3 linked regions of the Astyanax mexicanus genome follow. The protein of the gene in region 3 purifies or fractionates together with the protein of the main gene of each other region. This does not show direct contact. Links are inferred from orthologs where the notes say so. Each region holds a gene or a part of one and is shown on either strand. Other genes may lie near its edges.

What was found.
Region 1: the proteins of cullin-9 (region 3) and glmna purify together in Homo sapiens (affinity purification with mass spectrometry; 3 studies listed by BioGRID and IntAct, counting the BioPlex papers as one, with this or other methods). This does not show direct contact. The link is inferred for Astyanax mexicanus from reciprocal best matches to the Homo sapiens genes CUL9 and GLMN.
Region 2: the proteins of cullin-9 (region 3) and apex2 purify together in Homo sapiens (affinity purification with mass spectrometry; 3 studies listed by BioGRID and IntAct, counting the BioPlex papers as one, with this or other methods). This does not show direct contact. The link is inferred for Astyanax mexicanus from reciprocal best matches to the Homo sapiens genes CUL9 and APEX2.

Annotation. Positions count from the first base shown.
Region 1 is NC_064411.1:55,061,051-55,064,805, reverse strand, and holds the start of glmna (glomulin, FKBP associated protein a), read left to right. Parts: upstream 1-1,378; 5' UTR 1,379-1,487; intron 1,488-3,755.
Region 2 is NC_064419.1:39,158,653-39,162,407, reverse strand, and holds the start of apex2 (DNA-(apurinic or apyrimidinic site) lyase 2), read left to right. Parts: upstream 1-805; 5' UTR 806-879; coding exon 880-994; intron 995-1,456; coding exon 1,457-1,540; intron 1,541-2,720; coding exon 2,721-2,901; intron 2,902-3,104; coding exon 3,105-3,248; intron 3,249-3,366; coding exon 3,367-3,436; intron 3,437-3,755. UniProt on the Homo sapiens protein: Functions as a weak apurinic/apyrimidinic (AP) endodeoxyribonuclease in the DNA base excision repair (BER) pathway of DNA lesions induced by oxidative and alkylating agents.
Region 3 is NC_064414.1:18,295,987-18,299,741, forward strand, and holds the start of cullin-9, read left to right. Parts: upstream 1-1,223; 5' UTR 1,224-1,404; intron 1,405-3,213; 5' UTR 3,214-3,218; coding exon 3,219-3,755. UniProt on the Homo sapiens protein: Core component of a Cul9-RING ubiquitin-protein ligase complex composed of CUL9 and RBX1. The CUL9-RBX1 complex mediates ubiquitination and subsequent degradation of BIRC5 and is required to maintain microtubule dynamics and genome integrity.

The sequences.
Region 1 (3,755 bases), on a different chromosome or scaffold from region 3:
GTTTTGCGTTTGGGGCTATAAATGAGAGATTACATTCACTTTTTTATCCACTAACAATATACTCAGAGAGGAAAGGACCGCCTAACTAATTAACATATAAATACAGGAATAAATAAATAAAGAAATATGGTGGTACGTAAATAAATACGTGAAGAAATGTAGAAATTCATCAATAAAACAATAAAAGAAAAATGTATGTATTTATTTATTTTTAAATAGGATTATTTATTTATCTACTTTACAATCTAAGCTGTTTTTAACAAGAGTTTGGGGCTTTAAATGAGAGATTAAATTCACTTTTTAATCCACTAACAATATACTCAGCGAGGAATGGACCGCCTAACTAATTAACATATAAATACAGAAATAAATAAATAAAGAAATATGGTGATACGTAAAAAAAAAAAAGTGAAGAAAATAAATACAAATAAATGACTAAACATATGTATTTATTTATGTATTTATGTAATTATCTATATAACTGTGTATTAATTCGTTTATTTGTTTATTTATACGAATAATTTATCCATTATAAGTTAAGCTAAGTTAAGCTAAATATAGTGTAAGGACAAAAAAAAAACACAAACAAGTATTTAGGGCTATAAATGGGAGATTAAATTTTCTTTGAATCCACAAAAAATATATAAGATATGACATAAATGTAATTATTACCTTTTCCAGGACAAAATTATTATTATTATTATTATTATTATTATTATTATTATTATTATTATTATTATTATTATTATTTATTTATTTATGTATCGAAGTATTTAGGTATTATGTATGTATTTATTTGTATTTATTTATTTATTCATGTATTTATTAATATAATTGTGTATTTGTTTATTCGTGTATTTATTAATATAATTGTGTATTTATTTATTTATTTATTATTTTTTAAATATAATTATTTATTTATCTATTTTACAATCGTATGTATTTTCATATAATTGTGTATTAATTCATTTATTTGTTTATTTATAAGTAGAATTATTAGTTTATCTATTTTACAAGCTATATATATATATAAATAGATTCGTCAATAAATAAATAATTATTAAATAAATAAATCAATAAATAAATAAATAAATGTAAAAACTCAGAAACAGGACAAATAAAAGTTAATGGATGAAAGATTTCTTTTATATATGTAAGGATAAAATGAATGTATTTATTAATTTATGTATTTATTTATATAATTGTATATTTATTGATTTATCTACAGACCACTTTATTTATTTAGGTATCTATTTATTTATGCGTATGTCTTGTGCTCCATACACTTATGCCCAAGTGTCGAGAGGCTCCCTACGTAGGGCACTTCCACTGGATTTGAGACGCTCTCATCATGACATCACAGCTCTACGGCGAGCGAGGAGGGACAGTTGTGTTGTAAACTGCGTTGCCTGTGTTGAGGAGAGGCGTGTAGCTGAGCGGCGGCTCTCAGAGCGTTTCTCAGCTTTTCCCGCAGCTTTTCCCCCGCAGTGAGTTCTGGATGATATTCTGCATTAGTGTAGATTCATTACAGCGCGGTGTAGCATTATTACTGTTTATTCCGGTTACCCATGTGCTGATCCGCGTGCTGTGTAGCGCACGAGCCCTGGATCTGCCCGCATTACAGCTCTACCAATTCTTATACGCACTTTACACCAGACTGCTGATCTCAGACCAGGGCTTATTATACTCATTTATAACCACACTGAGTCTTTTACTGCATAAATACGAGTTAAAATGTGTGTAAATTAAGTTTTAGTATTATGTAGATAATATAACTGTAGTTTTGTATTGTAGTAGCCTGTAGTTATTGTGTATTCTCCTGCAGTTCGACCCTCTTGGACTAAGCTGGTCATTAAGCTGGTCATATTGTTGTGGCCAGATTGGTCATGGTGTTGGACCCATGTGGACCAAGCTGCTCATCAAACTGGTAATATCGTTTTAGATCAAGCTGGTCATATTGTTGTGGCCAGATTGGTCATGGTGTTGGACACATATGGGCCAATCAAGTCATAATGTTTTGGCCAGGTTGGTCATTGTGTTGGACCCTCGTGGACCAAGCTGGTCATTAAGCTAGTCATATTCTTTTGGCAAAGTTGGTCATGGTGTTGGCTCATCATGGACCATGCTGGTTATCAAGTTGGTCACGTTGTTATGGTCAAGTTGGTCATGGTGTTGGACCCTTATGGATCATGCGGTCACATTGTTATGGTAAGGTTGGTCATGGTGTTGGCTCATCATGGACCATGCTGGTTATCAAGTTGGTCACGTTGTTATGGTCAAGTTGGTCATGGTGTTGGACCCTCATGGACCAAGCTGGCCATCAAGCTGGTCATATTGTTTTGGCCAGGTTGGTCATGGTGTTGGACCCTCTTGCACCAAGCTGGTCATATTGTTTTGGCCAGGTTGATCCTGGGGTTGGACCCTTGGGGACCAAGCTGGTCATATTGTTGTGGCCAGGTTGGTAATGGTGTTGGATCCTCATGGACCATGCTGCTCATTAAGATGCTCATATAGTTTTGGACCAAGCTGGTCATATTGTTTTGAAACAAGATGGTCATATTTTTTTGGCCAGGTTGGTCATGGTGTTGGATCCTCATGAACCAAGCTGGCCATCAAGCTGGTAATATTCTTTTGGCCAAGTTGGTCATGGTGTTGGACCCTCATAGACCAAGCTGGTCATATTATTGTGGCCAGTTGGACCATTGTGGAACAAGCTGGCCATCAAGCTGGTCATATTGTTATGGTCAGATTGGTCATGGTGTTGGACCCTCTTGGAACAAGCTGGTCATCAAACTGATCATATTGTTTTGGCCAGGTTGGTCATGGTGTATGGAGTGAATTTTGTGCCAAAAGTTTTACGTAAAAAAATAAAATCCACAATCAAAATTTTAAGAATCAAAAGTAAAACATGTATGTTGCAAATTCAAAAGAGAAAAAATATATATCAAATATATATATTTAAATATATTTGGTTATTTTATTATTCTTTGCACTTATTTGAAAATTATTTTAGTTTGGATTTTGCCAGTCTTTGCTTTCATTTTTGGATTTTTTTGGATTTTCTGTGGATTTTTGTGGATTTTGCTGCTAAAGACTTTTGCTTCTGGAATCTCTCCTTTGCTTCTGCTTCATTTTTTTGCTTCTGATTTTTGGCACACTTTTCACGGGTGGGCGGGGCTTAGAAGAAGGCGTTCCCCTTTAATCTCTATTGGTCACCTACCCTGAACCCTCGTCTGAGACAGAACACGCCCACCCCGCCAGCTTCAAGCGCTCTTCCAAACATGGCGGAGCGAACGGGGTTCAGCTCACAGCAGCACCAGCAGGTACTTTTCCAATTAAATTTCATACAGACGTTATGTTTAATGTTATATTTCTTTTTTAAGTAAGTGTTTAACTCTATTAAGATGCTCATGTTAGCGGGGTGTGCTAAATATCCATGCTTAAATTATACTAGTTAGTTAGTGAACACTAACCTACCTAGTCAGTGAGTTAGCTAGTTTACCTAGGTCATCTGGTCAGTGAGTTAGTGGGTTAGCTAAGCTAGTTAGGTTACCTAGTCAGTGAGTTAGCTAGTTAACCGTAATCAGCACTTACTTGGCTTTACCCTGGGGCATAATAACTAGCTTAGCTAACCCACTAGCTCACTGACTAGGTAACCTAACTAGCTTAGCTAACCCACTAACTCACTGACCAGATGACCTAGGTTAAGTAGCTAGCTAACTCACTGACCAGATGACCTAGGTTAAGTAGCTAGC
Region 2 (3,755 bases), on a different chromosome or scaffold from region 3:
ATTAATTTGTTTAAAAATCCATTACTATCATATTTTGTTTATGTTCTTCGTGTTTCTTTATTTTTACTGTAAAGCATGTATTGAATCTAAAAAAAATATTGTAATATTTTGCCTAAAAAGAGGCCAAAGCATGCATCCTTAAAAATAATCAAAATACATATAGAATTAATTTTAATCTAAACATAAAAAAGTGAAATCATGTGCTGGTGGGAATTCAAACACACAATTCATAAAGTATCTGTTTTTTTAAAAAATAAAGAATAAATAAAAAAATTACTTTAAAGCTAAAAAGGGACATAATGGCTCCTAGATAATTATCATTTTAAAACCATAAATCTTTAAAATAGTTATGCATATGTCCGTAAAAGGGTGGACATTCTAGGTCAGAGACTTCATAAAAATGTTTAAATAAATGCTACAAATTATATGCCTGAGCTTGACCTAAAAAAATTAACATACCCCTTTCACAATAAAATGTGAAAAAAGTATAATAACAGTATTTCCTTTTCAAAAGGTTTTGTTGTCCAAATGGCACCCAATCCCAGGAATGACCCATGTATAAACCTAATTTATTTTATTTTAAATTAATTACATAATGTGGTTCTGGTCATTAATCTCCTCGGAATGGATTTGTAGATATATATAAACCTGTAAATCTGATATATTAGAAAATAATCATACTAATAACCCTGTAAAACTGAGACCTGTAGTTTGAGATTTAAGTAATAAATTTGTGTTGTGATTTTTGGCTGAAACCGGTTGCCATAGCTCCGTGAAAAGCGCGCGACCGCAGTATAATCTCGCGAGAGTTGGTGCGCGCGATCCCGAGCTGTGTGGTAATGGTGGCGCGGGGACGCTGTCAGCCGCTCTGAGACAGATATGAAGATTATTACCTGGAATATAAACGGAATCAGGAGTTTTAAATATGGCATTAAGAAGACGCTGGACTCGTTTAACGCTGATATTATCTGTGTTCAGGAGACGAAGGTCACGCGTGAGTATAGTAGCTATGTTATTCAGCCAGTAAAGAGGTTTAGCAGTGAGGCTGGATGGCTGTTAGCCTGAGTTAAAACAATAAAGATGCAGAGCTTTCAGGCCTCAAATAATGCAAAAAAACCCCCCAAAAAACAAGTTCATATTCATAATGTTTTAAAAGTTCAGAAATCATTATTTGGTGGAATAACCCTGGTTTTTAATCACAGTTTTCATGCATCTTGGCATGTTCTCCTCCACCTGTCTTACACAATGCTTTTGGGTAACTTTATGCCACTCCTGGTGCAAAAATTCAAGCAATTTAGCTTGGTTTTGATGGCTTGGTTTTGATCATTCATCATCCTCTTGATTATATTACAGAGGTTTTTAATTTGGTAACATTAAAGAAACTCATGGCTGTTAGCATGTTTACACAGTTAATCAGAGTATTAATCTGTTATATCTGTTATTATGTGTGGATCAGGGGATCTGCTGGATGAGAGGACTGCAGTAGTGGATGGATATAATTCCTACTTCAGCTTCAGCAGAGGACGCAGTGGATACTCAGGTTAGTAACTACTAGGGGTGTCACGATTCTCTAAATCCTCGATTCGATTTTATTTCCGATTTTAGTGTCACGATTCGATTCTCGATTTTCTTTTTTTTTCTTTTTTTTACAGCAGAGAGGCCTATGCCAGTTTTAGATTAGTCTATGGTCAGTCATTGGTTTGATTCATCAAATTTACAATATCTTATCTTATTTTAAAAGGCAGGCTTGAGGCACATTAGGCACTAATGGTCAAATTTAAATAATTTAATTAAGATATATTTGTAATGCCATCTAGTGGCATTTTTTGGTAGCAGCAGTGTGCACATAACAAAATAAATAATAAAATATAATTAAATTAATTAAATAAAAAAATTAGAGCCTTAACAAACTGAACTCTATCCTACTATAACAGTTAAACATGAAAAATAAGATTCAGTCCCTGAGAATGACAAGTTTTTTTCTTTAATAAAGATATATTATTAACTTTATCTGAGAGAAAGATGCTCCTTAAGGTACCAAAACTATTAACATATTAGACAAAACAACTATTATTTTTATATTTTCAAGTTTTTCTTTAAGAAGATGAGAATGTCCACATTCTGTAGAGAAAGGGCTGCTTTTTGAGCTACAGTGTGCTGCGCCATTTGCGTAGCGCGCTGCGCCATTTGCGGGAGGGATCGTCAATCCTCTTTTTGACTTCGATGCTCGAGACCATGACATAGTTTCGATCGATTTCGATGAAATATCGAAATCGTGACACCCCTAGTAACTACAGTATTTCAGGAACTCAGGGGATTAAAAGACACTGCTATAGTAGTTCATGTATGCAGATACACTAGCTTAGCTTAGCTAACAATAGCTCTGCAAAAAATAAAGAGATCACTTCAGCTTCTGAATCAGTTTCTCTGATTTTGCTGTTTATAGGTTTATGTTTGAGTAAAATTAACATTGCTGTTTTATTCTATAAACTACAGACATTTCTTCCAAATTCCCAATAAACATATTGTCACTTAAAGCATTTATTTGCAGACAAAATAAGAAATGGCTAATTAGCCATACAATAGCCATAGAATAGTTCTCAAAAGATTTTGTGTCCAACATTTTGTACAATTTTTAAATTTATAACAGAATCAGTCAACTATGTACATTCCGACAGGGACTGGATGCAATATTTTGATAACTTTATAATTCTGAACAGGAGTCGCAACCTTCTGTAAAGACAGTGCTACACCATTCGCTGCTGAAGAAGGACTGACTGGGCTTCTTGTCAACAATGGAGAGGCTGTTGGATGCTATGGGGACCAGACTGCATTCTCCACTGAAGAGTTACATTCACTAGATGGTGAAGGACGGGCTGTCATCACTCAGCATAAATTAATGTAAGCTTTCATGGAATGCCACAAGTCTGTGTCATAACATCTTCAGACCTTTTAATATTAAAACATTGTGTTTGTTGTACTTTCAAGATGTTTTACAGTTCAGTACAGTACAACTGATGATTGGTGATGAGTATGTGATGGGTACACAATGACTGTCATCTGTCAATGCTGAAATGTGTTCCCATGTTGAATGTTTCATGCAGGGGAGCAGAAGACCCAGAGACACTCACTGTCATTAATGTGTACTGCCCACGTGCGGATCCAGAAAAGCCAGAGAGGAAGCTCTTCAAGCTGCAGTTCTACAGGCTCCTACAGAGTCGAGCAGAGGCCATTGTGGGGTCTGGAAGGTAAGAAGGACATCAGTAAAATTGCATACATGTTTTGCTGGTTTAGCTTAATCCAGAGTTCCATTATGTTTTTTTTTACATTTAATTTGCATTGCTTAATCACTTTCTTTCTGTCTAGTCATGTGATCATTCTGGGGGATATCAACACATCTCATCGGCCTATAGATCACTGTGACCCAGACGATGTGGTCAGTAATTAACATAATCTTTGTTCATTGTTTATATCTATTAAAGTAGGAGCCTAAAGTAGCTATGTACGTGCACTGATCATGCTCAGATAGAAAAAGATTCTCCCTGTTTTTGCACCTGTTAGAACACACATTTAAACATTTCCCCAGGAGGCTTCTTTAACATATCAGTCAGTATGCAAACTGTGGCAGTTATTTACCTCTGAAAAAAACAGGAAATCCCAGATCACTAAAAGAAGTAGACCTACTATGCAGTAATTTACACATGTACTATTTTGCTAATTTCATCCTTATTCTGCATCGCCTGCAGTTTTCATTC
Region 3 (3,755 bases):
GTGGGACCCAGATACAGTGGCTTGCAAAAGTATTTTTACCCTTCAAACCTTTCAACAATTTGTCACCTTACAAGCACTAACGTAAATGTGTTTTATTGAGATCATAGAAGTGAGTCATAGAGTCATAGAACAACACAAAGTAGCAAAAGTTTAATCAAATAAAAATTATAAGCATTCAGCTTAGTGCCACCTTTCACTGCAATTACAAGTGCAAGTCTTTGTGGTATGTCTCTACCAGCTTTGTGCATCTGGAGATTTTTGCTCATTCTTCATTGTAAAATAGCTTAGGCTCAACCAGGTTGGATGGAGAGCTTCTGTGAACAGAAACGTTCATGTCTTGCCACAGATGCTCAGTGGGATTTAGGTCAGGCTTCCACTGTAGCTCTGGCTGTTTGTTTAGGGTAATTGCAAAAATTTACATTCACAAATGTAAGTGACCTGTATCTGTGTGTATGTGAACAAATCTGGCCCTGAAACGCCTCACGAGTGCATACTGATATGCTGATAAACGTCGCCTTCTTCACCAACAGCAAAAAAGGAAAATGGATGCATTAGCAGCTCATACGTGGAGCATCTTTTGCTTGAGTGGAGAGCAAACAGCTCTGGAGTACATGCTCAGGTCGAGGAGGTGAAAAAAAGGCCAGGTAGTTTGCTTTTGCTATAGCTGCACATCTGCACCAAGAGATGTGTGGGTACAAGAGAAGCACGTAGCGCATGCGTAAAAGCAAAAAGATGCACAAATTCTGACTGACCGTTCACACTCATGTCACATGTCCATGGATTGGATACATAGCCGATTCAGGAATACATAAAAAAGTAATAAAAATCTGATTTGAAGTATTTCAAGGCATTTATCCATTTATTCTTTTTGCTCCTGGTTGTAAGTGTGTTTTTCTTGTTCACCTTCCCTGGTTGTGAGTGTGTTTTTTTCACCTCCTGTGGTTGTGAGTGTGTTTTTCTTGTCCCCCTCCCCTGGTTGTGTGTTTTCCTTGTTCACCTCCCCTGGTTTTGAGTGTGTTTTACTTGTTCACCTCCCCTGGTTTTGAGTGTGTTTTACTTGTTCACCTCCCCTGGTTTTGAGTGTGTTTTACTTGTTCACCTCCCCTGGTTTTGAGTGTGTTTCTCGGTTTCTCCTGTTGAGGCCGCTGACTCACAGCCGCCCTCCTATCTCACTCCTCTCTCTCACTGAGATGTCTATGGTTACTAAACACAGTTTCCGCTTCCAGACCGGATGTCAGTTGCAGTCTGTACTCCGAGGCTGCGAATGTTGTGGATGAAAAAGAAACTGGCAAGTTGAGAAAAACAACGAGTTCAGGCTGGGCAACGACAATTCTTCGCGGAGGAGGAAAAAACCTCGTCGACAGAGGGAGAAAGCGGTGAAGGAGAGGTCGTGTGACGCTGCAGGTGAGCGGGAGCGGCTGTGTTTATTATTATTGGATGGAGCAGCTGGGTTAACTTTACTCCGCAGGCCGCGCTGCTCCCGGGCTCCGGGCTCAGCGGTGGGGAAACCAGCATGCTGATGTAACCAGGTGCCAGCCCTGTGTATGTGCGCTAAACTGAGCCAGGGCCCTGTCTCAACCACTGCCCTAATCCCTGTCCACTTCACCCTGCTAGGCGCCAGGTTCACAGAAACGTGGACTGCGACTAGCAGCTCCTGTCAGAGAGCGGATCCAGCCTGAACACAGGCTGAGTGAGCGGCTCGGTTAGCATGGAGGGGAGTGGCTGACTCAGACAGATAGCGTTACCCAGAAGTGAGTCAGCATCAGAAGTCAGCTAGCGGACCCTTCTGGGAACAAACATGTCCTTTTAGCTAAATCGGTTCGGTTGTGTTTTCGTCCGGTAAAGACAGGGGTAGCTTAGCTTAGCTTAGCTTAGCCTGCTGTTGTTTGGCAGAGGGAGGGAGAACTGACAGCTATGTAATGACACTCGAAACTAAGTGCACAGAGTCCCAAACGGAGGGAGAAGCGAATGAGACGGGCCCGTGTTTCACTAGCTAGTTAATGGGCTAGCTAACTAAATAATTTTTGAGATTGTAAGTGCAGTTCTTTTACTGCAATAATGTTCTCACTAACTTTGGGAGTAGGTGACAGCCAGCTGGTTGATATCAGAAAGCTGTAGCCAACTCGTTAATTAGTTAGTTAGCTGTTAGCTAGCTAAAATAAACGTATATGTAACTAAAAGTAAATGTAGCTAATCTAGGTAAGCTAGTTACTGTTAGCTAACGTTAGCTGACTCTGTAAACAAGCTAGCATCCAGCATATAACTGCAGTCTATGGTCCAGACACGTTGATATCTTTGTAACTCCTGGTAATCATTTTTCTCCAATGTAGTGAACTTAGGCTTGGGACCTATCAAGAAATATAACTATGTATAATCTGTTTGAATCTTACTGTAGCTGTCCAATATGTTGTAGGAGTGTGGCCAACTCAGTAGGGTTACAACTATTAGTCCACATAATCAACAATGTTCTTTATTTAAATTTGTCGACTAATTGTTCATTTGTAACAGTATCACAATACACAATGTGCTGGAGACAGAAGTGCAGTGGGAGATGGGTAAATGGTTCACTCACCAAGTTTACACTCAACAAAAATGCTCAAAAACAACACATTACATATTTTTTCACTAAATATCTGTACTTTCCACGTTTAAACAACATCTAGACATTTTAAAATGCTTTTAAATCTAGCTGTTTCTATGTTTTTTAGGGATGGGGAACATGGCAGAAATAATCGCTGACTAATTGACTATTTTTTTGTTTTACATTTTGAAACTAGCAAGGTCCAGTGTCCAACACATGACAAAGTAGTGATGTAGTGTGTTATCTTCCCAGTACTTTAGTTTTAAAATCTAAATAGTGAATCCTTTTTATTCTGGGTCTGACAAATGCTTGGAAATGACTCATTGAGGACTCCCCCTACATTTCTGTAATGTGTCTCCCCCTCTCTTTTAAATGATTCAGCAGCTAGAGTTTCATCCTGGAACTGGTTGCTGGTTGTGCACTTCATCTTTCAGTTTCACTTCACACTCTCTCGTTCATTTACATAGCTTAACCGTTTAACAAGATTGGACCTGCTGATTGAACATGCACATAAAAACTGTACCTTTTTTGTGATGTTATTTTGACTGTGTTATCTAACTTTTTATGTAGGCACTTCAGTCTTGAATCTAGTGTTAATATTTATATGTTTTGTCTTTATCTTCAACCTTTAGCCATAATGGTGGGCGAGCGCCGCAATGGGAACCTCCTGGTTCAGTTGGGGCCAAAACAGCAGGCTTATCCAGAGGAGCTGATTCGCCAGAGGCGCACCCATGATGGCCAGACAGAGTACCTGATCCGCTGGAGCCTGCTGGCTTTGGATGATGGCACCAGTTCAGGCGGCAGCAGTAACGAGGCAGGTGGCGGGGGTAGTGGTAGCTCTGGTGTTGGCGGCTCCAGCGGGTCCTCTTCTGGTGAAAGTAAGACGGAAAACATATTGATGTGGATGTCGACAGAGGATGTGTATGCCAACTGCCCCACGCTGCTGGGCAAGCGTCCTCTGCTGGAGGAGAAGGTGCGGCCAAGTGGTCAGTTCTCTCCCGACGTCACGTTTGACGAGGTGGAGCTGTCGGATATGAAAGATGATGTCAAGAACCTTGTCGAGCGAGCGCGAAAACAGATGGCCAAAAACAGTGATTTCGCCATTAGTCTCACACACACCATTCATGTGCTGAGCGCCTATGCTAGCATTGGCTCACTGGTTGGAGTCTTTAAG